Yarrowia lipolytica: one gene and its partners. Each later gene encodes a partner of the first gene's protein in a complex. Links are inferred from orthologs where the notes say so. Each region holds a gene or a part of one and is shown in the gene's direction. Other genes may lie near its edges. The genes, in order: YALI1_B18207g, YALI1_A05491g, YALI1_C14516g and YALI1_E17583g.

Evidence for each region.
Region 2: YALI1_B18207g (region 1) and YALI1_A05491g share a complex: the UniProt entries of both Saccharomyces cerevisiae proteins name them as parts of the U4/U6-U5 tri-snRNP complex. The link is inferred for Yarrowia lipolytica from reciprocal best matches to the Saccharomyces cerevisiae genes PRP31 and SMX3.
Region 3: YALI1_B18207g (region 1) and YALI1_C14516g share a complex: the UniProt entries of both Saccharomyces cerevisiae proteins name them as parts of the U4/U6-U5 tri-snRNP complex. The link is inferred for Yarrowia lipolytica from reciprocal best matches to the Saccharomyces cerevisiae genes PRP31 and SMX2.
Region 4: YALI1_B18207g (region 1) and YALI1_E17583g share a complex: the UniProt entries of both Saccharomyces cerevisiae proteins name them as parts of the U4/U6-U5 tri-snRNP complex. The link is inferred for Yarrowia lipolytica from reciprocal best matches to the Saccharomyces cerevisiae genes PRP31 and DIB1.

What each region holds. Positions count from the first base shown.
Region 1 is NC_090771.1:1,816,989-1,825,140, forward strand, and holds YALI1_B18207g (uncharacterized protein), read left to right. Parts: upstream 1-3,770; coding exon 3,771-5,339; downstream 5,340-8,152. Other genes in the region: YALI1_B18190g (uncharacterized protein), read left to right, coding at 2,111-2,905; YALI1_B18205g (uncharacterized protein), read right to left, coding at 3,296-3,562; YALI1_B18236g (uncharacterized protein), read left to right, coding at 6,656-7,675; YALI1_B18260g (uncharacterized protein), read right to left, coding at 7,852-8,152. UniProt on the Saccharomyces cerevisiae protein: Promotes the association of the U4/U6.U5 tri-snRNP particle with pre-spliceosomes to form the mature spliceosomal complex.
Region 2 is NC_090770.1:545,625-553,427, reverse strand, and holds YALI1_A05491g (uncharacterized protein), read left to right. Parts: upstream 1-3,542; coding exon 3,543-3,545; intron 3,546-4,233; coding exon 4,234-4,542; downstream 4,543-7,803. Other genes in the region: YALI1_A05527g (uncharacterized protein), read right to left, coding at 1-651; YALI1_A05473g (uncharacterized protein), read right to left, coding at 5,555-6,046; YALI1_A05459g (uncharacterized protein), read left to right, coding at 7,505-7,803. UniProt on the Saccharomyces cerevisiae protein: Plays a role in pre-mRNA splicing as a core component of the spliceosomal U1, U2, U4 and U5 small nuclear ribonucleoproteins (snRNPs), the building blocks of the spliceosome.
Region 3 is NC_090772.1:1,447,277-1,454,649, forward strand, and holds YALI1_C14516g (uncharacterized protein), read left to right. Parts: upstream 1-4,367; coding exon 4,368-4,397; intron 4,398-4,450; coding exon 4,451-4,522; intron 4,523-5,018; coding exon 5,019-5,147; downstream 5,148-7,373. Other genes in the region: YALI1_C14498g (uncharacterized protein), read right to left, coding at 306-2,603; YALI1_C14500g (uncharacterized protein), read left to right, coding at 2,800-3,429; YALI1_C14543g (uncharacterized protein), read left to right, coding at 7,085-7,373. UniProt on the Saccharomyces cerevisiae protein: Plays a role in pre-mRNA splicing as a core component of the spliceosomal U1, U2, U4 and U5 small nuclear ribonucleoproteins (snRNPs), the building blocks of the spliceosome.
Region 4 is NC_090774.1:1,753,125-1,760,418, forward strand, and holds YALI1_E17583g (uncharacterized protein), read left to right. Parts: upstream 1-5,233; coding exon 5,234-5,665; downstream 5,666-7,294. Other genes in the region: YALI1_E17527g (uncharacterized protein), read left to right, coding at 1-2,023; YALI1_E17574g (uncharacterized protein), read right to left, coding at 2,282-4,252; YALI1_E17594g (mitochondrial 54S ribosomal protein bL31m), read right to left, coding at 5,903-6,325; YALI1_E17613g (uncharacterized protein), read right to left, coding at 6,528-7,294. UniProt on the Saccharomyces cerevisiae protein: Essential role in pre-mRNA splicing. Also essential for entry into mitosis (G2/M progression) as well as for chromosome segregation during mitosis.

The sequences.
Region 1 (8,152 bases):
CCAGTGATCTAAAGTCAGAGTGGAATTGAGTGACCAGGAAAGAGTAAAAGTTGACCACAAGGAGTGAAAAACGTCGGAATTTAAAAAGTGCGGGAAAACGTGATTTTCCGGCTATCAATGTTCCATTACTGTTCCATACATTCCATACATTCCTGGGATCTTCTTACCGATAGTTGCACCTCTATATTAAGCAATCATTATTGTAACATCGGAAGTACTGTAGCAATTGGACGCCAGGGGAGCACAGTCTACAGTACGAGTACAACAAACGACTATAAAAGCTTTCATAGAGCTGACTATCCGCGCATGACCCTTATTGCTCTTGACCGGCCGGTTGAACGGGAGGGTGACCGATTTAGAGAGTTTGTGTTTCCAAGGATCCAATGTCAATTGCGGGGCTATAGCAAACTGATTGAGTCCGATGATGAAAATCCTTGGGCTCGAGCACATTTCTGTCAAGTCCGTTTGTCAAGATTATCGTCCGGAAAGGGCTCTACTACGATACCTTCACCTCGAGGTTACATGCAAGATCCAGGCCAGCCAGTAACGTAACATCAACTTGTACATTGAATATGAGACGAACAGTAAAAGGTATGGCCAGCTGTGAATGTTGCTCGTTATTTCCACTTGTCTGCGAGAGCCGTATATACTGTTGGCATAGAACGAACACTCCATAAGTGCCATCGCGAGCATCGCGCAGGACATTACAAACCGATTCTGTCAAGTACATACCAATGTTGGAGCTGGAGCCTACCATTCTCGGTTTTCACTTTTCAGAATTTATAATCGTCAGCTTGTATTGTAGAAATCACACCCCTCTTGCCAAGTTCAAGATAACAAATAGCACATATTTGTAGTTTTACAAGCACTTGTACAAGTAAGGATCGGAGTATCATATCGAATCCACGTGCAGGGCGGATCACACCCAAGTACACCCCTTCCCCCTATTGTTGACGTCAGTTGGGCCACACAAATAGTACTTTATAAATGATCACAGTAATACAAATTACCAATTACAAATTACCAAAAGTACAGTACATACTGTTCTACAGTTAGGGTGCTGCCAGGGTTGAAGTGTCTCTTTTGACATATTAATCAACCACAGGCGTCCATATTCACCGCTCCGAATTTGTCACATCAACAGCCCTGCAGTTCCTCACAGCCTGTCACGCGATCACCCCCAGTATGTACCAGTACGAGTACAAGTTACCGAAATTACAAGTACAGTAACTATTTAATAAGCGACGTATGTACGGTAGGCGTGTGTTGATACTGTAGCAACAAGGACCGTGAATACAGTGCAATGACATGGCCGAGGGACACACTGCACTAACTCTGATACTGTACAGTCGTACTTACTGGCGATACGGCTACAGTACGAGTAGCACAGACTCGAAACCACGATACCCCTAGCCCCTATCGAACAGTGTGATACATCGCATAATTCAATTTTACAGCATGTACAGTGCTTGTAGACCAGGCTGGTCAGGGTGGTGGGGCTAAAACGTGCCAGATTTTCCCATCCCAAGTTAATTAATAAGTCAGCCCGTTTCATCCCGCCCAGATATGCTTAGTCTAAGGTACGACGAGCTACGACCAGCCCTTAATTATGAACGACAGGCGACCAACAGATATGCAGTGCGAGTGAGAGCACAAGCAGAAGCACTGTACAATATGCAATGGACAAAGCAAAGGGCTTCCAGTTCACATGTTTCCCAGATGTGGGCGCTTTTTGGTCCTCTTTCGGCCCCGCTGTCGCTCAGTGCTACCAGGATATACACACTGTACTCAGCCCTGTTCAACTTAGACCACAGAGTTCGGCATATGGTGGGATCCGTCTTATGCAGGTCCATGTACAGACAGGCCCCAACGGATATATAGTGGAGTCGGGCCGTACTTGTAAGGTGTATGAGCGTGTATTTTTTCACCGCGTGTACGGCTCTTTCAAAAAAACACGTTTGAATCGCCACTTCTTCACCTTTAACGCGCTTTGTCTTTGTGTCGAGCTCCACAAGCCCCCTGAAGACAGATCTTCCAAACAAAAGGTAATTCGCACATCTCCAACAAACAACACTATTTTCGACCGTCTAAAGAGCCACAAAAACAGCAAATGTCGTCCCTCAAGCGACTCAGCTACTACCGCACATCCGAGTCCGCCAACCCGAGCAGCTTCGAGTTCATCGAAACGGCGGAATCCGCACAACCAGACGTCCACATCAAGGTGGTGGTGGTAGGAGATGGAGGCTGTGGAAAAACATGTCTGCTGGTGTCGTACTCGCAGGGTGTCTTTCCCGAGCGATATATACCGACGGTCTTTGAGAACTACATAACCACGCTCAAGGGGCCCAAAGGAGAGATTATCGAGCTGGCGTTATGGGACACAGCAGGACAGGAGGAGTACGACCGGCTCAGACCACTCTCGTACCCAGACGTGGATGTGCTGCTGGTGTGCTACAGCGTGGACTCGCCGTCATCGTTTGAAAACGTGGCCGAAAAGTGGTTCCCTGAGGTGACGCATTTCTGTCCAGACACGCCAGTGGTGCTGGTATGTCTCAAAACCGATCTCAGAGCCGATTCCACATCCGCCCATTATCTCAAAGCTCAGGGACTGAGCCACATCACGCCGACGCAGGGCAAATCCATGGCACAGAGACTCGGAGTGTACAAATACATGGAGTGCTCATCAAAGGACATGTCTGGCGTTAGAGAGGTGTTTGCAGTCGCCATGGGAGCGGTGCTGAAGGAAAAAGGGAGATCAAAGAGAACCAAACCTGTGCGATCACAAAGTAAAGGGGCAGCGGCAGCAGCAGCGTCAGCCACACGTCCAAAATTACAATCCAGACCAGCCTCGGAACCGATCGAGAAGAAGAAGAAGAAGAAACGACACCAGTGCTTGGTGTTGTAGAAAGCATCAACCACAGCTAACAAGGGGTGATATAGTAATGCATTATGATGAGAAGGATACAAGAGGGCGCGACGTCTGTGTAACGGCAATGAACGGTAGCAGCCGTATTATTATATGTACGAGTACATATAATGTAGGAGTTGTGTGGTAGCTCTACTTGTGCATACTGTGCCAGTGGCCCAGTTCATCTACGGAGGTACAAACTGTAGAGTAGAATTTTTAATCCTACAAGTAGATACTTGTACTATAGACCTAGATCACATAACTCGAAATCTGAAAACCGGCCATTTACTCATCTCAAAGCACTCATCAGTTCATTAGAATACATTTATAAATAATCGTCTGCAAGTCCATCAGGCCCTTACTCGTAACTCGCAACTCCAAATTACACTACTCTTTGGTAGTGTCTACCTCGATGTCTCCGTCCTCCGTCTTCACCAGATCCTCATTCACGGTGTTGTAAAAGTGGCTCCACATTTCTGCGAGCTCTTCAGACTTTTGAGACAGGCCCACAGTGTGTTCCAACGAACGGTTCAGCGCGTTCAGGTTGTTGAGCACGTCTTCCATGCTGGCCGAGATGTTTTTGATGTACTGGTCCCGTTGTCGCTCGAAATAAGACCGTTTGTCTTCCGTAGGAAACATGCTGACTCTGCTCATGTTTTTTTTACAGGGCTTCCAGAGGAACTTGAGTGTCGTTCAGGAATACTTGTAGTTGTGATAACGCGTTTCACGGTGTCTTTGCACTTCGAAGTCCACTGCATATCGGAACTCTAAGTGTTCGAAAAGATCATAACTCTAAATATTGCATCCTCCCTCAATTACTGTATCACCATCAAAAGGCTGAGCTCACCCCCACAACGACATAATGGGCCTGGCTGACGAAATTCTGGCCGATTTTGGCTCCAGCGACGAAGAAAATGAAGAGGTGGACGAGGTGATGGAAGATGCGACTTCCCAGATCCCAACTGAAGTCATTGCAACCGAAACCACAGAACCTCTGTCGCCTACTCCACTCAATAACATCAACCTGGACCTGCTGGGGTCCACCAACTCGGCAGCAATGGTCCCCAGACTTCTGCCACAACTCAGAAGCATTTCTCTGTACGAAAGTGGTGCCACTCAGTCAACTCTCGCACTCACATCAAATCTAGAAGAGAATCCAGAGTACCATGTGATTGTGGGAGCAAACGAGTACTCGGTGGAAATCGACAACGCAGTAGCTGAGCTGCACAACTTCATCGCCACTAGATACAGCCAGCGGTACCCCGAGCTCAGATCACTCATCGCCAACCCACTACAGCATGCACAGGTAGTGGCCATTCTTGGAAACGATCCCGCAGCAGTGGCAAAGTCAGATAGCCCGCACTTAAAACAGGTGGTGCACAAGTCAGTGATGATGACTATTACCATGACTGTGGACCAAGGGGGACGACGACTCTCGGACGTTGAGATGGCCACTATAAACGAAGCTTGTAAGCTACTGATAGCATTGGACGCTGCTAAGCGCCAAATCACTAACTATGTCTCCTCGAAACTGAACCTCGTTGCACCCAATACGGCCATTCTGATTGGTGCTCATTGTGCAGCTCAGATTCTTGGATTTGTGGGTGGTCTCAACGGTCTGGCAAAGACCCCCTCTTGCAACATACCTTCTCTAGGAGCTAAGCGAGAGACTGCGGTGGGGTTTGGACAAGCACAAAGACAGCAGGGTTACTTGTATTACTCGGATGTGGTACAACAGAGTCCTGCTGATATCAGAAAGCAGGCCATGCGAATGTTGTCAGCCAAGCTAGTACTTGCAGCCCGTTTGGATGCCTCTAGAGCATCTACAGATGGATCGTTCGGATCTAAAATGCGAGAGGAGATTGAAGGAAAGTTGCAGAAACTAGCAGAGCCCCCGGAGATAAAGGGAGTCAAGGCCCTACCTGTTCCTATCGACAAACCCTCAAAGAAGCGAGGTGGAAAGCGGATCAGAAAGTTCAAGGAGCAGTTCAAGCAGAGTGAAATGGCTGCTGCTGCCAACCGAATGGCGTTCGGAGAGGCCGAAAAGACTGTGGACGTTTACGGAGAGACCGTGGGTCTGGGAATGTTGGATTCTGCTGCTGGCCTGGGATCAGCTCGAAGAGTTGAAGCTGATTCCAAGACCCGTGCAAGAATGTCCAAGGGGGCTCGATCGCGTTTGGAGATGCTCAAGAACCGTCCCAAACCTATGATCGACGGTCTTCAGTCGTCTTTGTCTGTTACGGCGCAGTCTATGGAGCTTAGTAAACCCAAGGGACCCAAGACGGCCACCCAGGATAACAAATTCTTTGCCTCAGGCACGTTCACACAGCTGGAGAGGGGCAGCGGATTGCAACTAGGCCCTAAGCGAAAAGCTGACGAGCAGAAGGACCGTGGCACTACCAAGAAGTTGAAGGAGGGTGATGGAAACTGATACTGCTTCAGCATGTAACATAAATGATAATTTATTGACCCTACCTATAGCGTACGCGCGACTAATGATGTGCGACACATATACACGTACTCGAATATATGACTGTACCGTACGAATACATACTCGTACTTACAGCCGTTATCGACACATGCTATACGTGCATACTCGTCTGGTACAACAGCTTCTCTACGCAGACAGATCAGCATATTGGCAGCATTGCAGCGGTACGACAAAGAACGTATTTTATAAAAAAATACGAGATGAAATATACGAGTATTTCACTACTGCAACACTTCTCGCTCTCTCTTTCCTTGCTTCTCATTCCTGTGTGCCCAAAATCCAACCAACGCCCCCCTCCATTCAACTCTCAACTAATGTGCGTTAGACTCATCCAACTATAATATGCTGCATTCAGGGCCCTCTATTTCTCAAGTCAAGGAGCTGACCGTGTGTCGTGAGGGAAGCCATAAAAGGTACACATGCCGCCTAAACAGAGGTTCGAGGTATTATGAGGGGGTGGTGTTTTCCTTTTCAAAATTCCGCGTATTTTCATTCATTTATCATATGTACTGTACAGTATGTACTTTCTGATGGGTGGTTCCTCCGGCAACGGCAGTGTAGCTTCTTTACTTCCGTGCCCTATGCTTACAGTAAATACAGTATATGCTTGGTTCATAATGCGGCAAATAAGCTGCCGATGGGAACAGGGTGTGGAGAGAGAGAGAGAGAGAGAGAGAGAAAGGAGATAAGCAGTTCAGCGGGTCTACAAAAGTATAGCGCGCTACTACTACTACTGTAGTGAGTGTTTAGAGTCGAAAATGTGAATCAAAGTCCCAAGTCAAGACTTGTACTAACCCCCAAGACGTCACACGCATAATGATCAGTGTACTGCTCAGTATTTTCCATTCTTAATAAAGCTCTCCAATGAAACGGGTTTAAACTGGAAAAGACATGAGGTTGGACGCTGCCAAATCCGAATTAAATTTGTGCGAGCGCACACCTCGTATTTCTGACTTTTTATAACTGGCTTTTTGAACGTGCCACTCGCACCTTGTGGAGTAAACAGAGGGATAACTGGGTGGTGTAGTTTAGAGGCGAGGAAACAGAGATTACCAACTGACTCAGAATCAAAATCTCACCAAGGTGGTGAGCACCCTACCCCTCCAACCCAACCAATACCTCAGATTTCGGACTCCGTCGATCTTGGGCCCACGAGCAACTTCGCACATCGCGCTGGAGTCTAACTCTGCCTCCTCAAACTCTCGAGAGATATATAGCTGTGGCGTGGGTCTGGAAGTTTGTAGTCTCTGAACGAAATGCGAGCCTGGGTGACGACTTTTGTGCTTTCGACCATAATTCAGGGAGTTGCGGCGGGCACTCCTTCGGCTCAAGAGCTGGGTCTTACTAAAGACCAGTGGTACGACTGGCTCAATGCACATTATGGATTGTACAGTTTCATGCCCGATTACGACTCCAACTTGGCCGGCCTCGTGCTGTTCGCCTTCATTCTGTTGACCCACCTGGCTCTCGGCGCCTTCTGGCGCCAGTGGTGGTTTGGAGTCTGTGTGTCTTGTGGTTGCGTGCTCGAGTTTCTGGGATTCCTAGGTCGATTCTTGTCACGAGAGATCTCAGTCGAAGACGAGTCCTATTACATTATGCAAATCGTGTGTCTGACACTCGCTCCGGCCTTTGTCATGGCAGGTGTTTACTGCATTCTGGCGAAGCTGGTGGTTGTCTATGGAGAGTCTTACTCAAGACTGGGTCCTATCGTCTACACAATCATCTTTGTGGTCGGAGACTGGGTCTCGATCATCATTCAGGCCGTGGGAGGAGGTCTGGCAGCGACCCAAGGCAATTCGGACTCGGGAACTTGGATCATGGTCGCCGGTATCGCGTTCCAGGTGCTCGTCATGTCAATCTTCTTCCTCTTCTACTTTGAATTCCTTTTCCGAGTTTACACGGGCAGAAGAAACCCAGAGGTACTTGATAGTCAGGCTCATAGACCTGATATCGAGGAGCTCAAGAAGGGCAAGAAGTTACCTATCTTCATTGTAGGCCAGACGATTGCTATTATTCTCATCTACACCCGTTCCATCTACCGAATCATCGAACTAGCCGGAGGATGGCACGGACGGCTGGTCATCAACGAGGTGTATATGCTGGTGCTCGACGGTCTGATGATGGTGCTAGCAACATACCTACTGGCCATCTTCCACCCCGGCTTCATGTTTGGACGAGTGCCCATGAAAGCAAACCTGCACAAGAAGAAGCTGTCAAACATGAAGGAGGAAGACCTCAACTCGAGCCACAATGACGAAGAACGTGTCGAGTGGTAATTGCATTATAGATTGTATGATAAATTATTTAATTGAGTGATCCATATTGAATGTAGGTCTACAGGTACTTGTATCATGTATTTCTTTTCTGCTACGTTTCATAATCCTTGTAGTTTCATGATACAGAATAAATTAATGTCATCATCGTCTCATCTCTCATCGACAGCAACACCTTACTAATCTTTCACCTTCCAAACATGCAACAAGGAATTAAATGCAACACTTCCAATCACACCCTCCAGACTGCGATTCCATCCCACCTCGGTCACCTTCTCCGTGTGTCCAGCGTGCACAAACAGCTTTTCCGAGCCGTCTTTCTGACCTATCTTGGAAATGTCCCAGATGATGGCCCGTTTATCTTCAGATCCAGACACCAGCAGTCGAGGATTATGCGGGGACCAATCCAACGAGCCCACAGGCCCCTCGTGACCTACCAGTCGGCCAATAGGGGTCTGTGAAGTGGATTTGATGTCCCAC
Region 2 (7,803 bases), on another chromosome or scaffold:
GGAGCCTGAAGAGCCGCCCTTGGCGTTGGCTGCTGCCTGGATGTAAAAGGTGTTGAAGTCGTTGTAGGTGTGGTCTCCATAGTGGGGTGTGTTTCGCTGGACTCGGGAAATGAAGCCAGACAGAATGGACAGCTGCTGTCCGCTGTCGTTTCCGAGAATTCGAATTTCTGTGCCGATCCTGGCGAGATCGGGTCGCAGGCTGATTTCTCCAATGGCGACATGTTTGATGTCGCTGGGGTTGAATTTGAGAAAACCAAAGTCGTGGATGGGGTCGCAGTAGAGCACGTCGACCTTGCACTCCTCGAAGTTGTGGAACTTGATTTTGCCGGAAAAGACGCCGGCCCCAATCACGTGGCGGTTGGTGACGATGATGCCCTGCTCCTTGTCGACTACAAACCCACTGGCTTCGGACTTGAGCGGGTGATCAAACTCCACCGCCTCGTGGTGGCGAAAGTAGACGGACACAATGCATTTGACCGTTCTCGACACCGTCTCCAGCCAGACGGAAGACGAGTCATTGGAGTGTATTAGAGACATGGCGTAGTGCAGAGGGTGATTGGGGGGATGTCTCAAAGTGCGAGTGCAGTTATGTGTGGAGAGAAACGGCGATAAATATATGGTTTGGGGTAGAGTTTGTGGTGAGATGAGCATAATAAAAAAGTGCGAAAAATAAGGGAAAGTAGACTATTTTCTGGACTGGACGCTCGGCTGCCTCAGACTGACTCTGACTCACCGTACACACGTATAATTACGGTAATGATGCTATTTATTTGATATAAGTAGGTATGACTGATTGTGGAGTTTGTGACATGGAATCGTCGGCGTGTCATACACTTCTGATCTGTGCGGCTGAAATGGCACAAGGGATGCATACAGCGAGACAAGGTGTGTTCAGAGAGTCGACACGGCCATTAGCAATACAACGATTGGTTGGTGATTCCACGCATCAATCCAGCCTCATCGGACCTCATTGAATCTCATCAAGTCTCATTTTTTCCTTTCGCGTGTCGGTGGATGTTATTTTTTCCCATTGTAATTTGTTATTTTTCATTTTCTTTTACTTTACTTTTCACGATGTTGAGTTTAACAATGCGGCGTAATATGCGTCCACTACGTCATCGTCGAGTGGACTCAAGCCGCGTTTGTATGTATTTGCGATACTCCAATCGACCCAGACACGTCATGTTTCCCACGGAGCGACTCGGCCCGCGAAAATGCCCGTTTCTGACATGGATGGGGGTTTGACCATTGTCATTGCAAGGTTGGCCAGATAGAAGCACTTTGATCTGATAATCGGGTTGACATGGCATTGAACATCACATTTGGCGAGATCATTATATTCGCGCGTCACCTCACCCCGACCCAAGTCTGTCTTCGCTGTTGTGGAAGTCACATTGTCGGGGGAGTCGCAGAATCCGTGTTCTTGGCCATGACAATATCTTCAGATCAGGTGTTTTTTATTATTTATCTTTTTATGTGATTTCCGCGCGGGGTTCACCACATGCGGCTCCGTTAAAGTTTGGCGCGACGCGTTGATCTAATTAGTGTGCTGCTCAGACGTGACTCTGACACTCACGGCGGTCTGAACGAGGTCGGACTACGCCGAAAGTTGAAGGTATGGGCAGAAAATGGTTGTGCATGAGGTCAGTTTTAGGAGTGCTCGAGTCTGGTGAGTGATGCAATCGTCAGATGTTGGTGTGAGGTGTTTTGGTAGTATATACGTACTACGACTACGGTACTTACCATAATCTACTGCGGATACGGCTAAATTGCGTACACTATGTACAGTACTGTATGTACTGTGCACTTTTATATGTCCCTTGGATTGATTGAGTTGTTATCAAGTGGTTGGATTGTTTTTTATGAGCCGGGTCGTTGAATTGTCGGTGAATTGTCGTTGTGTAGTTCTTGAGTTCTTGAGTTGTAGAGTTGTAAATTAGTAGAGTCGTCCTTGAAAGTCCTTCACGTTGCACTGAACTGTTAAACATACCCACCACTCTGTCCTTCGGTGTGATACGAGTCCAGTCCGCACCCGTACTTGGAGAACAACCGCGATCCTTGCGGATGAATTGATGACTACAATGTACACACATACGATACACATGAAGTGGCTCAAATAGGCCCAGGCTCTGATCCGATAGTTGGAGAATTCAGAGTAATTCACGAAACGGGTTTTAAGAGATCGAACTACAACCCATCTATCGACCCGAGCTTTCTCGTTCGACCTAGGAGAGTGTGGCAACTGGTCGCCAAAAGGTACAAATTTCACCAGTTCGACAACTTCAAGATGTACTGTACTGCTATTTACTACCTAACTCACGAGATTACACCACTCATTAGCGTGAACGAGAGCTGTGTCGATTAGCAGTTACCAGCAATATCTGGAAGTTCCGGTCCCGAAAGGCCATTCATCGCTCATAAACACACTTCCTTTTAGTAAGCAGCAATTCCATATATCCAACCGGACATGGGAGCCATGCTCATACCCTGGACGCTAGCACTAGATTCGGACCTTTCCGTCGTCGACGAGAAACGCGGGGGAGCCAACCGTGAAATGCGTGTGGGGGCTATCGGTTCTCCAAGTAGCAAAATAGACGCCATTGACTGCTTTGGAATGGGCCATTGTCTTCTTTCTCGGGTTTTATCAAGACTTCAATGAAACCCCACATGGAAATTTGTACATTGCTTGCAAACACAGCGGGTCCGATCCGATAACATTCTCTTCTCACAACCATTTAGAAGAGAATGAGATAGCAACATCAGGACAGGAAGCGCTTGCGACTGACCATCTGCGGTTCTGAAAGGAGCAAAAAGGAATGGTCCCTAGCAGGATCGAACTGCTGATCTTCGCGTTGCAAAGTGGCTATTTCTTATTAGCACGACGCCTTAACCAACTGGGCCAAGGGACCTGGAGATATTCCCGTTTTATAACCAGACCTCTGACTAAGCAGACTGATGACTCAGCCGCAGTAGAAAGGAATCATTAGAATAAAAAATAAAAAAAGTAGAATATAAAAAAATGGTGGCCATATTGAAGGTATGGACACTGTCGTAACCGTGCAGAAAGATATATTAGAATACAGGGAACAGAGGACTTTATGTTATCCTTTTTTCTTTTTTTTTTTCATGCTGGGGAAATACATCAGCTACTTGAGTACATCTGTTATACCTGCAAATCGGATCTGGATTCAGTTGTCCAGAAGAGCGCATGGCATTCGTGTATGGTTGTTCACGTATTCTTCTTGTTTCATCTATTGACCGGTAAATATATCAGCAATCATGATTACATAATTCGACAATGCTGACTGCTGAGATTGATCCAAAAATATCGAAATCGCGGCGGATTTAGCTCAGTTGGGAGAGCGCCAGACTGAAGTAATTCTCAGTCTTGAAATCTGGAGGTCCTGTGTTCGATCCACAGAATTCGCAATTATTTTTTTTCTTCAAAATTCAGGAAACCTTATTTTGCAGTATCAGTGTGTAGACCCTCAGATCACGGCCATCATCACCACTTCTACAACAAGCATTTTACCACAACAAGGATGGTGAGTATGAATTTTTTGAGCAGTGGAAATGCTACAGATGATGGATATGCGTTATTGGTAGTCAGGCAGACACAATGACGGGGTGTGAGAGGGACGGGGTGTGAGAGGGGACCATATACTGACGAGGTCTGATGCTGTCAAGACAGGAATGCTGTTTGAAGAGCTGGACCAGTGGCGTACCTAGCGGGGTATTGGAGTGGTTATGGATACCGAGGTATGGACTGCAAGTATTTGTGGTCTTGTGTCTCTGATCTCTCGTTTTGTAGTTGGATTCAACTCAACATCTACAAGAATGGAAGGACGACACGGTGACACTACTGCTGCGTCTAGGCTTGATATTGTCTGCTACGCAAAGCCTTTTCCGAGAAACCCCATATCAAGAGTCCGCCGTGAAAGTCATGCAATTTTTATGTTGTTTGTGTTTGTGTGGTGTGACAGCAATGGAATGTCGTTTTTCTACAACCGTGAATGAGGGGAAAGTGAGGCACTGGAAATGGTCCAATTTGCAGCTGACTCCTTGGCAAGCTCTTGTCTCGCTCGAACGAGGTGAACCGCATATACACTAGTGACATGTGTGGTCTAGCTCTCCTCAACCATGCTTAGTTAACCTCCGCTTCACAACTGATTCGCCCACAATCATCTGTCGTCGCCACGCACATCATCTCCTCTACTATCATTACTAACCCAGTCAACCCCTTTCAATCCCACCAACCCCAAACCGTTTCTGCAAGAACTCACAGGCAAGTCCGTCATTGTCCACCTCAAGTGGGGCAAGACCGAGTACCAGGGCACACTTGTTTCCGTCGACAGTTATATGAACCTGCAGCTGGAGGATGCAGTGGAGTATGTCGACCAGGAGAACAAGGGCGAGCTAGGCGACGTTTTCATCAGATGCAACAACGTACTGTGGATCGGAGAGAACGGGGTAAAGGAGGAGACCAAGAGCGCAACCGCAGAGGTGACCGAAGAGGTCAAGGAGGACGTTGAGATGGCTTAAAAGAAAGAACGGGATGTATTGTATAATAGAATGTAACGCAATGGTTGTAGAGTATCTCCGTAGTCTGTTCGCCGACATATGTTTGCTATATATTGTGAGCTGATTTCTGCTGGTTTACAAAAAACTCAGGAGAAGGTGAGAAGCCCATGGTTCTTACTATATCTACATGATACCAGCAACCAGTACAGTACAAGTGCCATCAAGTCACACTCTTTGGGAGGCATCTTCATCTTCCACTGCGGCAAGTGTGTTCAGTCATTCATCTCGATCCTGCTCGTGTATTCAAACACTTATGACAATCGGCTCAAACAACAGGAAGGCCATCACGGACGAACTATTCTCGGCATCGAATACATCTATCCTCCCTGAAGATCCCCATCAACCTTTATCTATCTTCTTTTCGAGTACACGATGAACACGGCTACAATGTCAAGGACAACGAGAACGGTCCTTCCGATATCGCCATCAAGTCGGAGGACGACAACCCGTCGAGCTCCAAGATTACCAAAAGGCCTTGAGCTGTCGATCTGACCATTACCATTAAGTACAAGCTGCCTTATTTGGTGGAACTCGTCAGCTCGCTCTTGGGATGACAAACAGGCTCGAGTCACCGGAAAGAGACCAGAACATATAGTCTGGTCGTGCTGTACGACGCGAATCAAGACATGCTCATTATTCAATATGGGCAACTGTCCAGATCTTTTACATCGTGGGTTCTGGCAATGACAACGGGGCATCTAAGACACCCCCGCCCCAAGTGCACGGCAGTAGGCTTGCTGTGTATCAAATAAATGTGCATGTATTGATGCCGTTGCGGCATGTATGTAAGTGGTTATTATCGTGCGATAACGTATGTGTCGGTTGTGCTTTTGCGCCAGGTGGAGAGTGTGTTTTGACTGCAATCAGGGCTTTCTGCTTGTGACCTTGACCACACGTAGCTGCGTGTTGAGTATGTTCGCATCTTTCAGTATGGCATCTAAATGTCCTGTTGCCACGTTGTCCTTCTCGTCTTCTACTCATCAGTTCTAATTCTTTTGTTGCCCTCTTCCTCTGTCGCCTCGGTTTCCGACTCTGAGCTGGAAATATGGTCCTGGTCGTCCTGGGCGCGTACAACCTTGTCCTTCTTCCTTTGTGCAACTTCCTGTTCGAACTCGTTGACACTCTGGGTCACACTGGGCACAAACTGAGCCAGATCAACGTCCTTAAGGGCCACGAAAACGTCCTGGGGCGTTATCTTCTTTCGGCCTCCAGCCTCGGCCGACGCGTTTCCGTGGCTCGCCATGTACGACACAAACAGCGTGGCAGCTCGCTGGATGGCCGTCAACGCGTCCTTGGAAATGATGGCGTCATCTGGCAGTGTCTCCTTGGCCAGATTCTTGATGGTTGATTTGGGGTACAGGAGATCGTCGATCGAGTACTTTTGCTTGGCCTGTATCGTGTTACCGGCCGAGTTGACGGGTCGGAAGTCGCCGTCGGCGGTTTTTTTGTGTCCTTTGGGCGGCATTGTGGAAGTGACGGTGTGAGGTGTGGTTGATGGACGAACAGAGATGTTGGCGCATCAGCTGTATCGTGTTGCGTCACGTAATTTAAATTGGCCTGTTTTTGGCGAGTTTATTTGTTTTTTCAGGATTGTTGTGGGAATTGGGGAATAATGGGGGAAAAAAGATGTCCTTGGCACGAGACAAAATAAGCGGTATTAAAACGGGTTATATGATGTATCCAGTAGGAATACAGGAACAATGTACGATACGAGTGCGAGTACGAATGCCGCACTACATAACACATTGTACTTGTACCCTTGTCCAGAAGTGAAGGCAACTACCGATACACAGTATGTACGTACTTTACGATACTTGAATCAACATCTACTTTGAATGTTATATTTTCGATTCGAAAACTACATTGATGAAACACAGATATCTACTCGTATGTACATACTTGACTCAGTGATTGTGTTTTTGTGACTCGATCTGATTTCTTCTCTGTGACTTGATATGATTTCTTCTGATTTTCCGAAAACATTCAAAAAAGTCATCATATAATCACTAGATTCTGTTAAACGAATCAACTGATTAAAAAAAAGTGCACCACTCCTGACCACGATCGCCGACCTCTTCATACTACTTGCCAAATACCCCACGACGCTCATTTCTGGACACCTCCCTTGGACACCTCCCTTTTCCCTTTCCATTGGTTGCTGAAAAAGCCTTACGTAACACCCAGCGTAAGTGTTCGTATTGTCCATCAAAAATTCAAAAACCTTCTAATTATCGTACATAGTTGAACAAGTACACTCCACTACAATCTCTATAACTTGCCCAAAAATGCACGAAACAGACCAATTTTTCAACTCTAGTGTCATCCGCTCCCAGTCTAAGCCCTCTGAAACACATCCCCCTCACCCACTCCTCAAATTGAACCGCATTGTTGGGGGATCCGAAATCTTATTTTGAGTAGTCCTGTTTATCCGAAATTTAGTCGGATGAATATATACACTGTATTTTAAACGAGTTTTTACTCCAACTCGTATTGTATAATATTGTAGTTGTAAAAGAATTCAAGTTCAAATACCATGAAGACGTGTTGATCAATTCAAGCCAATTGACCCTCAATTCCTCTACCACACCCTCCAAACAACCTCTCCAGACAAGTCCCCCTTGTCATATTATTTGCTACTTGTATTGCATGGCACGGCACAGGCTGGATTTCGTGTTTTCATTTGTTCTTTTTTTTTTTTGCCTTCCTCACAATTTAAGCAAATAAAATAGCCTCAAAGTGTGCAAGTCTGGTGACAAGCCACACGTTAACGGATAGTGGCCCTTGATGACCAATCAGACAAGGTGTTCAAATAGCAAGTAACGGGTGAAGTGTGGCCGAGGAGCCGGTGTTTGTGCCATGTGTCGTCTTCATTTCTGCTTAATAAGCACGTTTCTGTAGCTTGCTCTTTTGATTTACCGGAAATATGTGTGGATTCGGCTTTCTGCGGCTTCCTTCTATTCCCGCTCTCGAGAACAATAGGCTTAAGTTGGTGTTTTCAAGAAATGCATATAAGATGACGAAAAAGATGTGTAGAAACTTAACAATGTATTTCATTGTGTTTACCATCGTTTCAATGATTTATTCTTTTTTTTTTCCCCGACGTTTTCCCTATTATTGGGTATTTAATTTCAGTTATATTCCCCGTCCTACCCGCTCCAGATCACCGTTATGCAAGGTTAACTTTGCTGGTCAAAATCTGACACTAGTAATCTGTAACAACAC
Region 3 (7,373 bases), on another chromosome or scaffold:
AGTGAAGGATAGGAACCAGCGACAGACACCCGGAGACTTCTTTGTTGCTACTTGATACTCTCTTCATTCGGGAAATCAAGTAACACTCTTGTTCCAGTCACAGTATGTGTAGAATGGTCGGTCTGAGTAGCCACCTGGAGTTCACCTAGACAATCCACTTCATACTGATCACAATCAGAGAACCAGAAGGGTAACAATCGCTTCGCCCAAATCCTCAGCTCTCACTCGCTCACCAGCCGTCAATCACAAACTATTAATTAACTATTAGATACATGGTCCATATTATACCGTCTCCTCACATTGTCTTAATTCCACAGAGGAACAGGCTCACCGACAGCCTTGTAGGTGGCAATGAAGTTCACAATGAGAATCAGCAGCAGAGCCACGGCAATAATCAACGGACCAATGGGATTGTCCAGATGCTTCTCGCTTCGCTGCTTAATATAGTTCAGCCGGCTCATGTAGGTGGACCATCCCCAGATTCCGGAAAACAGAGTCAGCGCAAACAAAGTGTAGGCAACGTAGGTGGCAACAGACTTGTCGACGGCAGCCTGCACGGAAGAGTACAACGTGAAAGTCAGAGCGGACAGCAGAGTGGTGATATGGAGCCACTTGTTAAAGGTTCGCTCGTTAGCAAGCCACACCTTGGTCTCGACCTTGACAGGACCGGTGTTTCGGATGAGAACGTCGGGCTTGACAACGCCGGGAGGAAGAACAACTTCCTCGTCCTCGGAAAGCGCATCGTCCAGCTTGGGACCAAAAGTTCCCAGGAACGGGATCGAGTACTTGTGCTTGAGCGACTTTCGGTTCTTGGGTCGCCCCTCGTCGTCGTCAGAGTCGGAGTCGTCCTCCATGATGGTCACCTTCTTGGTAGAAAAAGAAGGACCAGCAGGAGTGGTAGCACCCTTTCGGGGAGAAGACACAGAGGCGGCTCGAGCACGCACAGCGGCAGTCTTGGCCCGCTCCTTGAGTTTCTTAGTCTCCTGCTCAAACGCCTGCTTAGGATCAATTCGGATATCATCCTCCTCGAGGACAGACAGCCACAGAGGCAGGAAGTTGAGCTTGTCATCCTCACCGTACAGAGAGGCAATACCCTGGATGAACTTGGAAAATTTGGGCACCTCCTTGACCAGATGCGACGACGTCAGTTCGTCGATCCACTTGCCGTGCTTTCGGTACACAGACGACGAGGTGATGATCGAGTTGCCAGTGTCAGCGGTGTCAACACCAGGTCGGTTCTGGACTCGGAACTCCAGAACGGCGTAGGGGAACTTGGAGTACTCGCCCTTCCGCAGCACCTTCTTTGGGTCCGACACGGCGTCGATGTCGGTTCGATGCCAGTTGTTGGGGTCTCGGATAGGTCGGTCCTTGTCAAAGGCGTCCTCTTTGATGAAGAGAATGTCATTGTCCATAATGACTCGCACTCGGTTGTCACCAGGGATCTGGAAGGCCGTTCGAGTGTACTGAGCTCGGCACACGGGCTGCAGAGAGTTTTCCCGGATAAAGTCCTGGATGTTCTCCACAGACTTTTCGTAGCCCTCGACTTGATAATCGGGCACGTGCGAAGATTTCATCTTCTGGACAGTCTTCTCCATGTGGTAGGTTCCGTTGATGAAGCCAGCAATGTACTTTTCCTTGATGGGGAGTCGCTCATCGCCGCCTGCGATGGAGTGGTCGACGGTTCGCTTCTCAATGTAGATCTGAGAGTCCTCGTCGGAAGTCTTGCCGGCCCACTTGAGCCGCAGAGAGGGAGAGGTGTCATTCTTTTGTAGCTTACCCTCGTACAGCTCAAAGTCGGAGTTGTCAAAGTAGAGCGACGTCAGGGTGGGATCAACAGAGTCCTGCGAGTCGTTCTGGTTGTTGTAGACCAGAATGGGAAGGTGACGCAGAATTCGGGTCTTGACCTCCATCAGATTGTCGGAATGGACCCAGAACTTGTACGAGGTGTAGTTGAGATCCGAGTCGTTGGTGTATGACGACAACTTGGCGTTGATGGACGCCGACTGGCTCTGGGGAGCCTGTTCTCGAAGGAACGAGTAGACAGCAGAAAGCCGGTTGATAAGCGGCGAGTAGTCTTCGCTGTGGAAGGGCAGGGCCTTGAGTCGCACCTGCAGCAGAGGCTTAACCGAGTACTTGGAGTGTAGTCGGTCGTGCTTCTTGACAATCTTGGTGAAGCCGGTGAAGTTGATTCGGGAGAAGTGCTCGAGCTGCTGGGCGCTCTCAAGAATGTCCTCGATGGTGTGCTCCAGGTTCACAAGATCAATCTCCTTGACCTCGACAATCTGCTTCTCAATCTCGCCAATGGCGTCGGACAGCTTGTTGTACATGTTGGTCTGGAACGAGTACACCTTTTCGAGATCGGAGTCGAGCGCCTGGACGAAGCGGGTCTCGTCGGACTCAGACCACTCCTCCTTGTCGTTGGGCACAACATTCTCCCGGAGAAGTCGCTTGAGCGAGTCGTAGTTGATGTAGTGGTCCTTCCACGGCTCGTAGATTTCGTTTTGAAGGCGAACGCCGAAGAGCATCTGGGTTAGCGGGGTTCTTTGCTTGAGGGTTTCTAGCCGACCGAAGCTCGGTTGGACGAGACTCAAGGAGTAGAGCATCCTCGGCACCCCGAGGACATGATTGGCTAGTCACAGACGAGTTGAACAATAATAACGACATGTCAAACCAGCAACTAAAGTGGATAGTTCTGGTGGACACAGATGCAGGGACCAGGATCACAGCAAGGGTATATGAACAGCGTCGGGGAAGATGTGAGATGTGGTCGGACATCGAGTTTTCTTGGGAGTCGCATACATGTACGCAGTCACCCCCACTACCACATGGAACACTGTACCGCAAGGACACTGTAGTTCCATGAGACATACCTGGATTCAGGAAATGGTTGTACGAGGAGACCACAGTCGAGATACGAGGCACTGGCATCAACAGCTCCGACACAAACCACTGGCGTCAGCTGTCGACACCATGGCCGCCATGTTTCTGTGTTTTGCTACCGTTGCCATGTCTCTCTGTCATCAACACCTCGCCCCTGTGCACTCCGTCATCAACACCTCGCCCCTGTGCACTCCGTCTGTGTCACTAACCCCCCAACGTCATACTCACTTTCAATACGGTTCTGATGATGAAGAGGAATTGTCGTCGACAGTGTCCCCCAAGTTTAGTGGTTGGCGGTGCATAAAGTTTGTGTTAGTGTCGACAAAAGGCCGATTTGGCACTAGCGGAAAAGCGCCGATGAAGAGACGTTTTGAGCGCCTAATTTTGACACAACGACTCCAAAGGCCCGCAGCTGTGTTTCGCCGTTTTCCGAATGCCGACATCTGTCCTCAAAGGCCCTATTCGACGACCTTCAACAGCTCCCCGCCACTGCCGCAAGATGCCAATATAGTTTTCGTATCTGACAGAAAGTATCACGGGCAGGAATAGGACCCAGTCATAACAGACACTTATAACGTCGCCGAGAGAAAGGCGAGACGAGATCCAAGATGACCATGACACACTCGAAAACGGGCGACTCCCGGTCACCGGACAACCCCCCCCCCCCAGAGAGTCACCCAAACATCCTTCGATCGCGGCACCTCCCAAATCGTATCGAAAAACCAACCGAAACTCTGTTCAAACTGCATCCTCAAACAAGAAACAAAAGTGATTTTTACAGCTTCAGAAATCCAGAGTGAAGAGCTGAGATGAATACAAGAACAAGACAATAAAACTGATATTGGCACATTTAAATACAACCCTCCACTCCGAGCCCCACTCAATCACGTGACCCCAAATTCCGGTCCACCACTCTTCTTGGTCAAATCACCTCGCACAATCGTACATATCAAATGCAGTTGTCCACCCACGTGTTGGCTCACCACATTCATGATTGGAGGGAGGACGCGACGACATCGGAGGGACCGTGAGAAGTGAGGTTAAGAGCACAAAAAAGGGGGATTATTAAGTACTTTTGCTGATGAATCCCAAATAGAAGGAGTTGATTTCCCCTGTTATTTTTCCTCCATTTCTGATCTCCTATCTTTCCGGACTTATCATATTTCAAATTAAAAATTTAGAAACATCGAAACTCCAACTATTTTTTATTTTTTATTGTTCTAGCAGTGAATTTTATCGAAACTAAAACAATTATAAAAAATCACACACTAATTAAAATCAATAAAAACACTCAACGAAACCAAACAAGAGAACAAAACTACAGCATTGCTCGTCAAACCACTACAAAATCCATATATATCACGTGACTCCCTTACCCTTCTCTCTCCCACCAACACTCTGCTGACTAACAAACTCTAGACTGCAGAAAACTTCACGTGACGGCTCCATCTCATCTCATCTCACCAGCACCACCACATTACACAAGAATGGGAACCAGCGTTCCGGAGCTGAAAAACGTGAGTACGGCAGCTAGCCAGCGGGATTATTTTCGGTCACGTGACTAACACAGTACATGGACAAGCGTCTCATTGTCCATCTCAACGGCGAGCGTAAGATCATTGGTGTTTTGCGAGGATATGATGTGAGTATTGAGGAAGGAGAGTACGATGATGACCGAGGTACTGATGGATAGTCAGATGGAGTAGTGACAGAGTCGAGCTGTTTTGACTAGCGCTGGATTGAGATCTGAGATGTGTCTCTACGTCTAGAGACTGACAGGTAGAACGAATCGACTCAACCAGAGCTCTACCACAGAGATATATACCTGGTGGTTGGACTACTGTCAACAAACTGGATATGAGTTAGCTGGAGACAACTGGACCTCCGCGAATGCCGACACATGTCATTTCAGCTCGTTTCCTACTCGGTCAATTCTTCTCACATGTCTGGCTGGTCAACAAAATCCTGCTCTGTCTGAGTTGTTTCTGAACATCATCTGTCTCAATGAACAGCCCGGGCCTTTAATGACTGTCTTCAACGAATCTAGACACAACGGATTCCGCGCATTATTGGTCTGTCAGCCGATTTTCGACTTCATTCATCTATGATGCTCCCACTACCGCTACGTACTAACTCAGGCATTCCTAAACATTGTTCTGGAGGAATCTGTGGAGGAAAAGGCCAATGGAGACAAGGTACAGGCCGGCATGGCTGTGATTCGAGGCAACTCTGTGGTCATGCTGGAGGCCCTTGAACGAATCCAGTAGACCCCGTCTACCTTGTATAATAAATTATTCAGTATTAGCGATGTGAAGGAGATTCTCTAGAGCTGAGGGACACTAGCGCAGTCAGAAGTAACCCCGCTGGAACTTGAGAGAGAAACGTAAGTAGTACCAGAAGAAAGCTAAGACGACTGGCCCGGTTCGGTTCAGGGCAACAGATCTGGAAAAAGGGTTCCTTGATAGCTCCAGTTCATTTCTGATTGGCCGCCGGTTGAACACTCGGGACCGAGTCTGCTCCACTGGTACATTCGAGTCGGTATTCCTGCTTGCCTGAGAAAGAAAGACCTTGAGGATCTTCTTGGTATCCTTGGCGCACCGGTGCTGGGAATCGATGGAAGTCACCGTCGGCTCCATATAGCCCAAGTCCACTCGGGATTAGAAACAGCTGTAGCAACAGAAATCCCACTTTGAATGTCAGTGAGACCCTCAAGCAATTTTGGCGGAACCAACAGCAATCTCAGCAGCGCCGAAGTAGGAGATCGCCTAAGAACTAAAGAGGGGAGGCTGGCCAATCCATGAGAGCACGTGATAAAATTCAAAGCGGTCACATGTTGCAGCTCTAGGCGAGCACGTGATGACCAGGACGACAAATGAAAGGGTGAAAGAGAGAAGAGGAAGATTCGAAGCATGACAATGACAAACAATCTTCCCTCAAAGTCTCGTGATGAGAAAATCCCACAATCTGTTCCAAATGGTCCAGCTGGTTTCGAGATGGTGGTAATGTTGGTGAATGGGGCTGTGAGGGCTCAGCGAGAGCAGAACATGTAATGTGATATATCACGTGAGTTTCCAAGTCCGCCTACTGAGCTTTATCTCTCTGTTGACATCGATTCCGATCTGGTGGATCCTGTGGACTGGAAACGTACTGGTTGTTAGGTGGAAGCCATGCTGATCATTATGAACCTGACTCTCTGGAGGTTTTAGTCGAGTGTAACAAGTTAGGAAGAGAGTCCATCAAAAATTATTCAGCATCTTTCCAAGTACCCAGTCCCTAGATATGTAGAAGTATTTGGTCACGGTAGGCGTGCCGTATCGACCGGGCTGTAGTCTGTAGAGACGAACTTACTAGGATACCAGAACAGGGTCTACTGTCATTTGGTCTTCTGAGAGTTGGGGTTCTGTCCAGAGCTGGTAGAAGATTGATAACTTGCCCCAGATTCTGTCTGCGTCTCGACCAATGGCCATCTTATGTTAAGGGTTCATGTCTTCAGGCAAGGTCATCGAGTCACCATAGATGATCCCCCACCAGTGTCGCCGACGAAACACCCGGTCGATTCAACGCTAGACAATCCGTCGACGATGTTTTACTCCGTTTTGCAGCGGCTCAAATAACCGCCCCACCAGTCTCTGACATGAGCATATGGACATCGGAAAACGCTGTAGAACATTGTAAAACAGAGAGAAACCGACAATAAAACACAGGACTTTGTTTCTGTTACTTTCTCTCAACTCATCCTCAACTGAGTAGGTCTCGACTAGAGAGATCCCCCAACAGCCAGATAGGCAACATACTGATCTGCTCGTTTCAGTAAAGGGTTCCTTCAAGAGTCAATAAGCCTTAGGAGACAAAACCGCTCCCAGTGGGGAAATACTTGGCCAAGAGCCCCTAGCAGACACTGGAGATGAGAATCCCCCGTTGGGAATCTTTGAGGATTTGTGTCATTAACGACCCAATTGAACCGCTCTGGATACGTCTTATTGAGTCCCCAACACCTGTCAACACCGAATACAAGACAGTCTAACCGCCAGTCGTCGTAGATCTGTCCTTAAACAGTGCACAACATAACACACCGATCCGAAAGTCCGAAGACGTGAGAAGTTCGGAATCTTGCGTCGAAACAAAACTTAAGGACTTGAATCAATATGTGGGTGATAGAGAAGAAAAAAAATCGATTGCACTGTCCACTGCTGAAGCCGAGTGCATGGCTCTATCTGAGGGTACCAAGACTGCTATGTGGCTAACTGAGGTCTATCAAGACTTCGGTATTCCCATGGAACCTAAAGCTGTTGGGATCCTAGTTGACAACCAAGCAGCGATGCATATTTCTAACTATCCCCAGTTCTATCCACGAACCAAGCTCATCAAGCGACGATATCACTTTATCAAAGAAGCTGTGAATAATAGCGAGATTACTGTGTCATTTGTGGGGGCTGGCAACCAACTCGCTGATTTTCTTACAAACCCACTTGTCTGGACCACTCTCAATCCTA
Region 4 (7,294 bases), on another chromosome or scaffold:
CCGAGGAGTGCCCGAGGAACAATGGTCCGCTACTGCTGATCCCATCAGAGACCTGGCGGTGGTCGATATCAGCACCGGGGAGGGAGAGCAACAGGAGATCAACACTTCGGTTGTTGCTCTTGAGGACGGACGGTCCAGCACCAAGGTCCGGATCATTTCTAAGAACTCCGACAAGTCCATCACCATGGGTCTGTGCCAGCGACTGATCAAGTTCCAGCCCTTCGCCTCCAAGTTTTTGGTTTCGTGTATCATCAGCGAAAAGGTGCACCTGACCCTGATCGATCTGGAGTCGAAGAAGACTGTTACCACCAGCGTTATCGGCCAGGAGGGCCAGGTTCATGTCTCTGGTGCTGATATCTTTGTGCTAGGAGATGACAAGCTGTATAAGATTGATCTTTCCGAGTTTGCGCCTGTTCTCATCGGTGACATTCCCCATGGAAAAGACGCTGTCATTTCACTCCAGGAACAGCTTGTGGTTCAGGACTCTGCTGCAATTGAGACGTTCGACTACTCTCTCAACAAGAAGGCTTCTGTGGCCCAGATTCCCTTTTCTCTGACATACACTGGGTCTGACAACTTCCTTGTTGCCTCTCCTACGTCTCTCAACGTCCTCACTCCCGAGGGTAAGTCTCTGTGGTCTTCTCCTGTCCTCTCGTCTATCATCACTGCTGCTTTCATTGACAAGGATGAGGTCAAGGCCGATGACGCTTTTAACATCAACACCGACCCCGTGACCGCCTTTATCAACCGAATCCAGTCCCACGTTGCCCAGCTGCCTCATCTTATCAAGTGGTTCTCTTCTCTAACCCTTGACGTTCTGGAGGTGTCTACTGACAACGACCACTTCTTCGAGAAGCTGCTGATTGTGGCTACTCCCTCTGGTCTCACTGCCATTGATACCACCACCAACACCAACGCCTGGGAGGTGGATATTCCAGGTGTCACCAAACTCACCTCTGTCGCTAACGGAGTTGTTGCTACCACACCCAATGGAGACATTGCTTACGATGCTCACGGAGTGGAGTTCAGTGCTCCCGAGTCTGACTCGGAGTACACCGTCAAGACCACCGGAAACATTATTCAGGGATACAGGAGCGGCCAGCCCACCTGGACCTGGAGTCCTGCAGCTGGTTCCATCGCCAAGACCGTGTCCAAGAATCTGGACGACGAGTCTGTGTCTATTGGCACTATCCTCGGAGACCGAACCGTGCTATACAAGTACCTGTACCCCAACGTAATTGCTGCTGCTTCCGTTGATGAAACTGCCGGAACTCTGCTTATCACTGTGCTCGACTCTGTTACAGGTAACACCCTGTACCAGTCTATTCACAACGACGTCAAGTCCTTCAGCGACATTGTTTTCGGCGAGTACTGGATCACCTACTCTTATGTTTCTGGTGGTGCCCTTCCCGGTGCCAAGCTCGTCACCTGCGACTTCTACGAGTCCACTACCCCCAATGAGCGAAAGTCCACTGACGAGATGTCTGCCTTTGACATGTTTGTTCCCGAGACCATCTGCCAGGCCTTTGGCATCGAGTCTGAAGTTACTGCTCTATCTGTCTCCAAGACCACCTTTGGTATCACATCCCGAGATGTCATTGTCGCTCTTGCTGACGGACGAGTTGCCTCAATCCCTCGACAGGCCATCAACCCTAGACGACCCGTTGGACGAGCTGCTACTGCTGCTGAGATGGAGGAAGGTCTGGGAACTTACGATCCCTTCCTTGCCATCTTCCCCCAGATGCTCATTTCACACTCCTATTCTCTAAAGGGCGACATCATTGTCACCAGCGGAGCTACTTTGGAGTCGACTTCTCTGGTGGCTGTTCTATCCACCAACGGAGACATTTTCTTCACCCGAATCTTCCCTTCCACCGCCTTCGATCTCATGAAGCCCAATTTCAGCAAGAAGAACCTCGTGTACACTGTGCTGGCCCTGGGTATTGCCGTGCGATACATGGGCCCCGTGGTCGCCAAAAGACTCAACAACCAAAAGTGGGGTGTTGGTCTCATTGAGAAATAAGAAATAACGATAATACATGTTTGACTAGATGCCCTTACTACAAAGTAGAACGTGCCTTACTTCAGTATATGTAAACCGGCTGTCCATAGAGAAACCGCCACAGATCCAAAGTGTGACATGTTCTGATTTGGCTGCCTTGGTCTATTCTCTCACCCATACATCTCACCTCAAGTGGTCTGAGGGTGACTACTTGGTGCTGTTTAATTCCAATATTGAACTCATTACTCTGTACATATTTTTATTGAACGTTTACTGGATTTACTCCTTGTCGGTGGAATCGAAAGGAGTGAGGTCCTTGGTGGCCTCCTCCCAGGCAACATCGTCGGCGGTCATGACGTTGATGGCAGCAATGACGGCGTCGATGGAGCCTCGAACCTGTCGAGTGGAGTCTCGCTCTCGGAGGGTGACAGAGTTGTCCTTGACAGTGTCGAAGTCGACGGTAATACCGAAGGGAGTTCCCATTTCGTCGTTTCGGGCGTATCGCTTACCGATAGAGGCAGAAGAGTCGTCGACCTTGGCGGAGATTCGGGCCTGTCGCAGCTTCTTGGAGACCTCCTGAGTGAAGGGGGCCAGCTCCTTCTGGGAAGAGAGAGGAACAACAAGAACCTTAGTGGGGGCAATTCGAGGAGGGAAAGAAAGCACACCCTTGGCTCCGGAGGCGTCCTCGGGTCGAGTCCAGAAGCAGTGCTCGATCAGAGAGTAAAGGATTCGTCCGATACCGAAAGAAGGCTCGATGACGTTGGGAGTGTAGTCTCGAACGTGGGTGGTGATGGTCTTTTTCTCAATCTTGATGTGAGACTTGTCAAGCTCGGTGCCGGCAACCTCGACACCCTCAATCTCGGGCAGGACGATCTTGCCGGCCTCAAGAGCCTTGGCAAGATCCTCAAGCTCGCACTGGGTTCGGGACTCGAACCACTCCTCGACGGGCTTGGCGGCCTTCTTGAGCAGAGGACCAAACTTCTTCTTGTCGTATTCGCAGACAAACTTGTCCTCGACGAGAGGAGCGTCGAGCTTCTGCTGAACCTGCAGCTTGACCTTGGTTCGGGCCTCGTGCACAGACAGATCGTAGGCAGATCGGTCAGCACAGCCAACACACTCGATCCAGCCGTAGGAGGTGTGCAGCTCGGCATCCCAGCAGTCGGTGGCGTAGTGGGCCATCTCGTTGGACATGTGCTGTCGGAATCGGAGTCGGTCGGGGTTGACACCAATCTTGATCAGGAACAGGTAGATTCGAGCAAGGAAGTATCCGAGGGTCTTGTTGTCAACGAGACCGGTCTCAACGGCCTGGCCGATGGTCATCTCCTGGATGTCGGTCTTACCAGCGGACTGGACATCCTTGGCGAGGAATCGCAGCTTGACGTCCTTGACCTCGTCGAATCGGTGGTGGTCCTTGTCCAGAGGGTCGACAAAGTGCTCAATCTCGGCCATGGTGAACTCTCGGACTCGCAGCAGACCGGATCGGGGGGAAATCTCGTTTCGGAAAGACTTACCAATGGAGGCAGAGGCGAAGGGCATCTTGGTGTTGTTGCAGTCCAGCAGCTTGTTGAAGTTGAGGAACTGGCCCTGGGCGGTCTCGGGTCGCAGGAAGCCCTTGAGCTTACCGGAGGGGCCGATGGCAGTCTCGAACATGAGGTTGAACTCCATGGGCTTCTCAAGGGGACCGCCGGTGACGGGGTTGACGATCTTATACTTGTCCATGATCTCACCAAGCTCGGGGCCGGAGAAACCGTCAATCTTGGCAAGAATGGTCTCGTACTCCTCCTTAACATTGTCATCGAGCTTGATGGCCACAATCTCCTTGACCTTCTTCTTTCGCTTCTTGGCGGACTCGTCCTCAACAACGTCCTCCTTGATGCCTCGGGCCTCCTTGTCTCCCTTGAGTCGGGCCTCGAGCACCTCCTCGACCAGATGGTCGGCTCGGAAAATCTCGCCGGAGGCCAGATCTCGGCACATCCAGTCGGCAAACTTGTCCACGTGGCCAGAGGTCTTCAGAACCTCGTGGGGAGTCAGCATGGTGGTGTCGACCTCGAGCATGTCGTCCTCGAGCACAAAGTGATCTCGCCACGTGTCGATGATTCGGGTCTGGAGAGCACATCCAGGCGGGCCGTAGTCGTAAAGACCGGAAACACCGTCGTAGATCTCAAAGGCTGGGGCGTAGAAGAACCGTCGCTTGAGGACGGCATCAAGAGTCTCTCGGTTGAGCTCCTGGTCGGCGGGTCGGGTGGACATTCTAGCGGAAAAATTCGAACTGACTGAGAATTGACGTATAAAATGGGGGGTAGGAATCAGCTTCCTACGTAGCAGATTTAGTGAAGTCACAATGGCAGTAGTCGTAAGAGTGGACTGGAGTTAAATTTTCCAAACTTTGCACTCTTGTAAAAAAAAACAACGGGGTTTGGGAGTAACAAGAAAAGGGTGCGTGAAAGTGACCCCAGCGCAGTATGCATTTGCTGTCAATGAGAGATAGATGATAACGAGTCCCTCGTACAAGTCGTAGAGCAGGCGTGACTACACCGGAATTGTGTTTCCCGAGAGCTTGAATCCCATCACACATCTATAACAAAGAAAAGACGTCACTCTTTGTGACTCACCATGTCTCATCCATCACCCGTACTCGTACTTACATGACCCCCTCCGACAGGCCCTTCCTAGAGCCAGAATTAGTTCCTGCCTCAGATCATTGAAGGTTCTAGTGTGTCAATAAACACCAAAAGGGACCGACTGGACGCAGACATAGACAGACTTTGAACTACTTGTTGGACAATGCCATTCCACAGGGCTCGTTTTTTCTCGCCCGGTATCCCCTATGGGTTCATATTCGGCGATATTCCGGGCCTGTCCAATTGAGTTAGTCAGGGTTCCAGAGCATTTGAACAATGCAATGTAGAGTTTGAGGTTTGTACCCATATACGAAAATGTACTGGAAAATCAAATAACTTGGATATATGGTGGGTAGAGTGCCAGATATATAGCTATTGGGGGAATTTACCACATTTATGTTTTCCCGCGTCTGATCAAGTTATATTGTAAATCGAGTTGATGCACTTTTACTTGTATTCCTATTTAATTTGTATTCTATTTTATTTATATTATATTATATTATATTATATTCTATTTTATTTTATTTTTGTATTTTCCCACAAACCTCCCACTCACGTGACCTAAATATATCCCTACCTCTGCACCAACTCAGCACATTACACACACATCATGGGATCTATCTTGCTGCCTCACCTGAACACGGGCTGGCACGTGGACCAGGCCATCTTATCGGAGGAGGATCGACTCGTTGTCATTCGATTCGGCCGAGACCACGACCTCGAATGCATGAAAATGGACGACCATCTGTACTCGGTGGCGGAAAAGATCAGAAACTTCGCGGCCGTCTACGTGTGCGACATTGACCAGGTGCCCGAGTTCAACCAGATGTACGAGCTGTATGACCCAGTATCGGTCATGTTTTTCTACCGAAACAAACACATCATGTGCGACTTTGGCACCGGAGATAACAACAAGTTGAACTGGGTATTGGAGGACAAGCAGGAGCTCATTGACATCATCGAAACAGTCTATCGTGGAGCAAGTAAAGGTAAGGGTCTGGTGGTCAGTCCCAAGGACTATAGTACCAAACACAAGTTTTAGAGAAAGGTCTACTTGTCCACGACGGGATAACTCTGCATCATAGAAAGATTAGTAATTTATATGTAATATAGCCATAACTACGACGTGAACGGGAGTTCATAGCGTGCACCATGTGTTTGAGGAATGTATGCCATGTCTTTACAATCCCCTACGTACTCAGATCATCCAATAATATGCTGGTTACTATGTACTGTTTTTGCGCTACCAACGCCTTCTCCGTGTCTCCTTCTACGTCGCCTATTTCTTCTTCTTCAGGTCGGACTTCTTCTTCTGGACCTGAACTCCAGACTTGGTCTCGACGAAGTCCTGACCCAGCAAATCGGCAAAGTCGTCGTCGACCTCGCCGAAACCAAACTTCTCGTTGAACTTGGACATCTGCTTGCCCTCCTCTCCAGAGTCGGTCTTGAGCTCGGGCTTGTTGGGGTTCCAGAGATGCACGTTTCGCTGATCATTAATGGGCTTCAGCTGCTCCACGGGGGCCACGGTTCGTCGCTTGTAGGTGGAGCCGTCGGACAGCTGGACGGTGCACTCAAACTCGTGGAAAACGGGAGCGATGGTCTGTCCGAAAGCGAGTCGCTTTTGTCGCTTGGGCGCTCGCAGAATCGAGGCGTTTCTGGCGTTCTTGATTGTCGTCAGGGGGACGGTAGCTCGCTTGAACATGTTTGTGACTGTGAAGTGATGTACCGTGATCCGAAAATTCACTAACACAGTTTGGATGTTGCAGGGTTAGGTTTTTTTCAGACGAGGTAAAAATCAGCTATACAGGGGGTCGTGAGTTCGACTCTTTGGTATGAGCATAACAAGAGTGCTTCTTAAAAATACATTAAATACCGTAAAATACATACAAGTTGTACAAATAGTACTACCATTCCTTGTCCTCGTCCTTGCCCTCGCCCTTGCCCTCGCCATTGCCCTCGCCCTTGCCCTCGTCCTTGCCCGTATCCTTATCTTTATCCTTATCGTCAATTCGCTGCTGAGAAATACCCGACAGGTCTCGCAGGCTCTTGACGTTGTTAAGATGAAGACTGAACATGTTGAGATCAGGGTCCTCCACAGGGGGCTCCGAAGAGGATTCGGTAATAACAGCCGCCTCTGTAGTCTCGGGCTGCATCTCGGGGTCCACAACCTCCACAACGTCCTCTTCGTCGTCCTCAGCAACCTGATTCTCTTCAACATCACCTTCAGGTCGCTGCTCTTCCTCGGCGTCAAAGATGGCCTGCACGGTTTCGTTGGAGTTCTCCCTAAGAATAGTTCCTCGGACCTTGGCTCGGAGAGCCTTTCGAATCTTGCTGATGTCATTGTACTCGAACCAGCCGTCCAGAACGTCGTACTTGGCTCGAACAGGGGCACTGTGGATTTTCTCGTACAAGAGAGGGTCAGTAATGTCGCACAGCTGCAGAGTTTGCGACTCGGGAGGATGAATTCCGTCAAAGACATACGGCAGGGGAAGTGCCTTTTGAGCAGCAGGCTGAACGGGAGGGGCAAGACCGGCCAAGTCATCCTCCACCTTCTCAGTCTTTTCGTCTTGGTTGTCGCTGATTCGAAAAGCTTCTGTCTGGTAGAACCGCATGCTGGGGTCAGTTCTGGGGTCCTTTCCATATACCACATAGGCTCCTCTCCAGGGTCCAG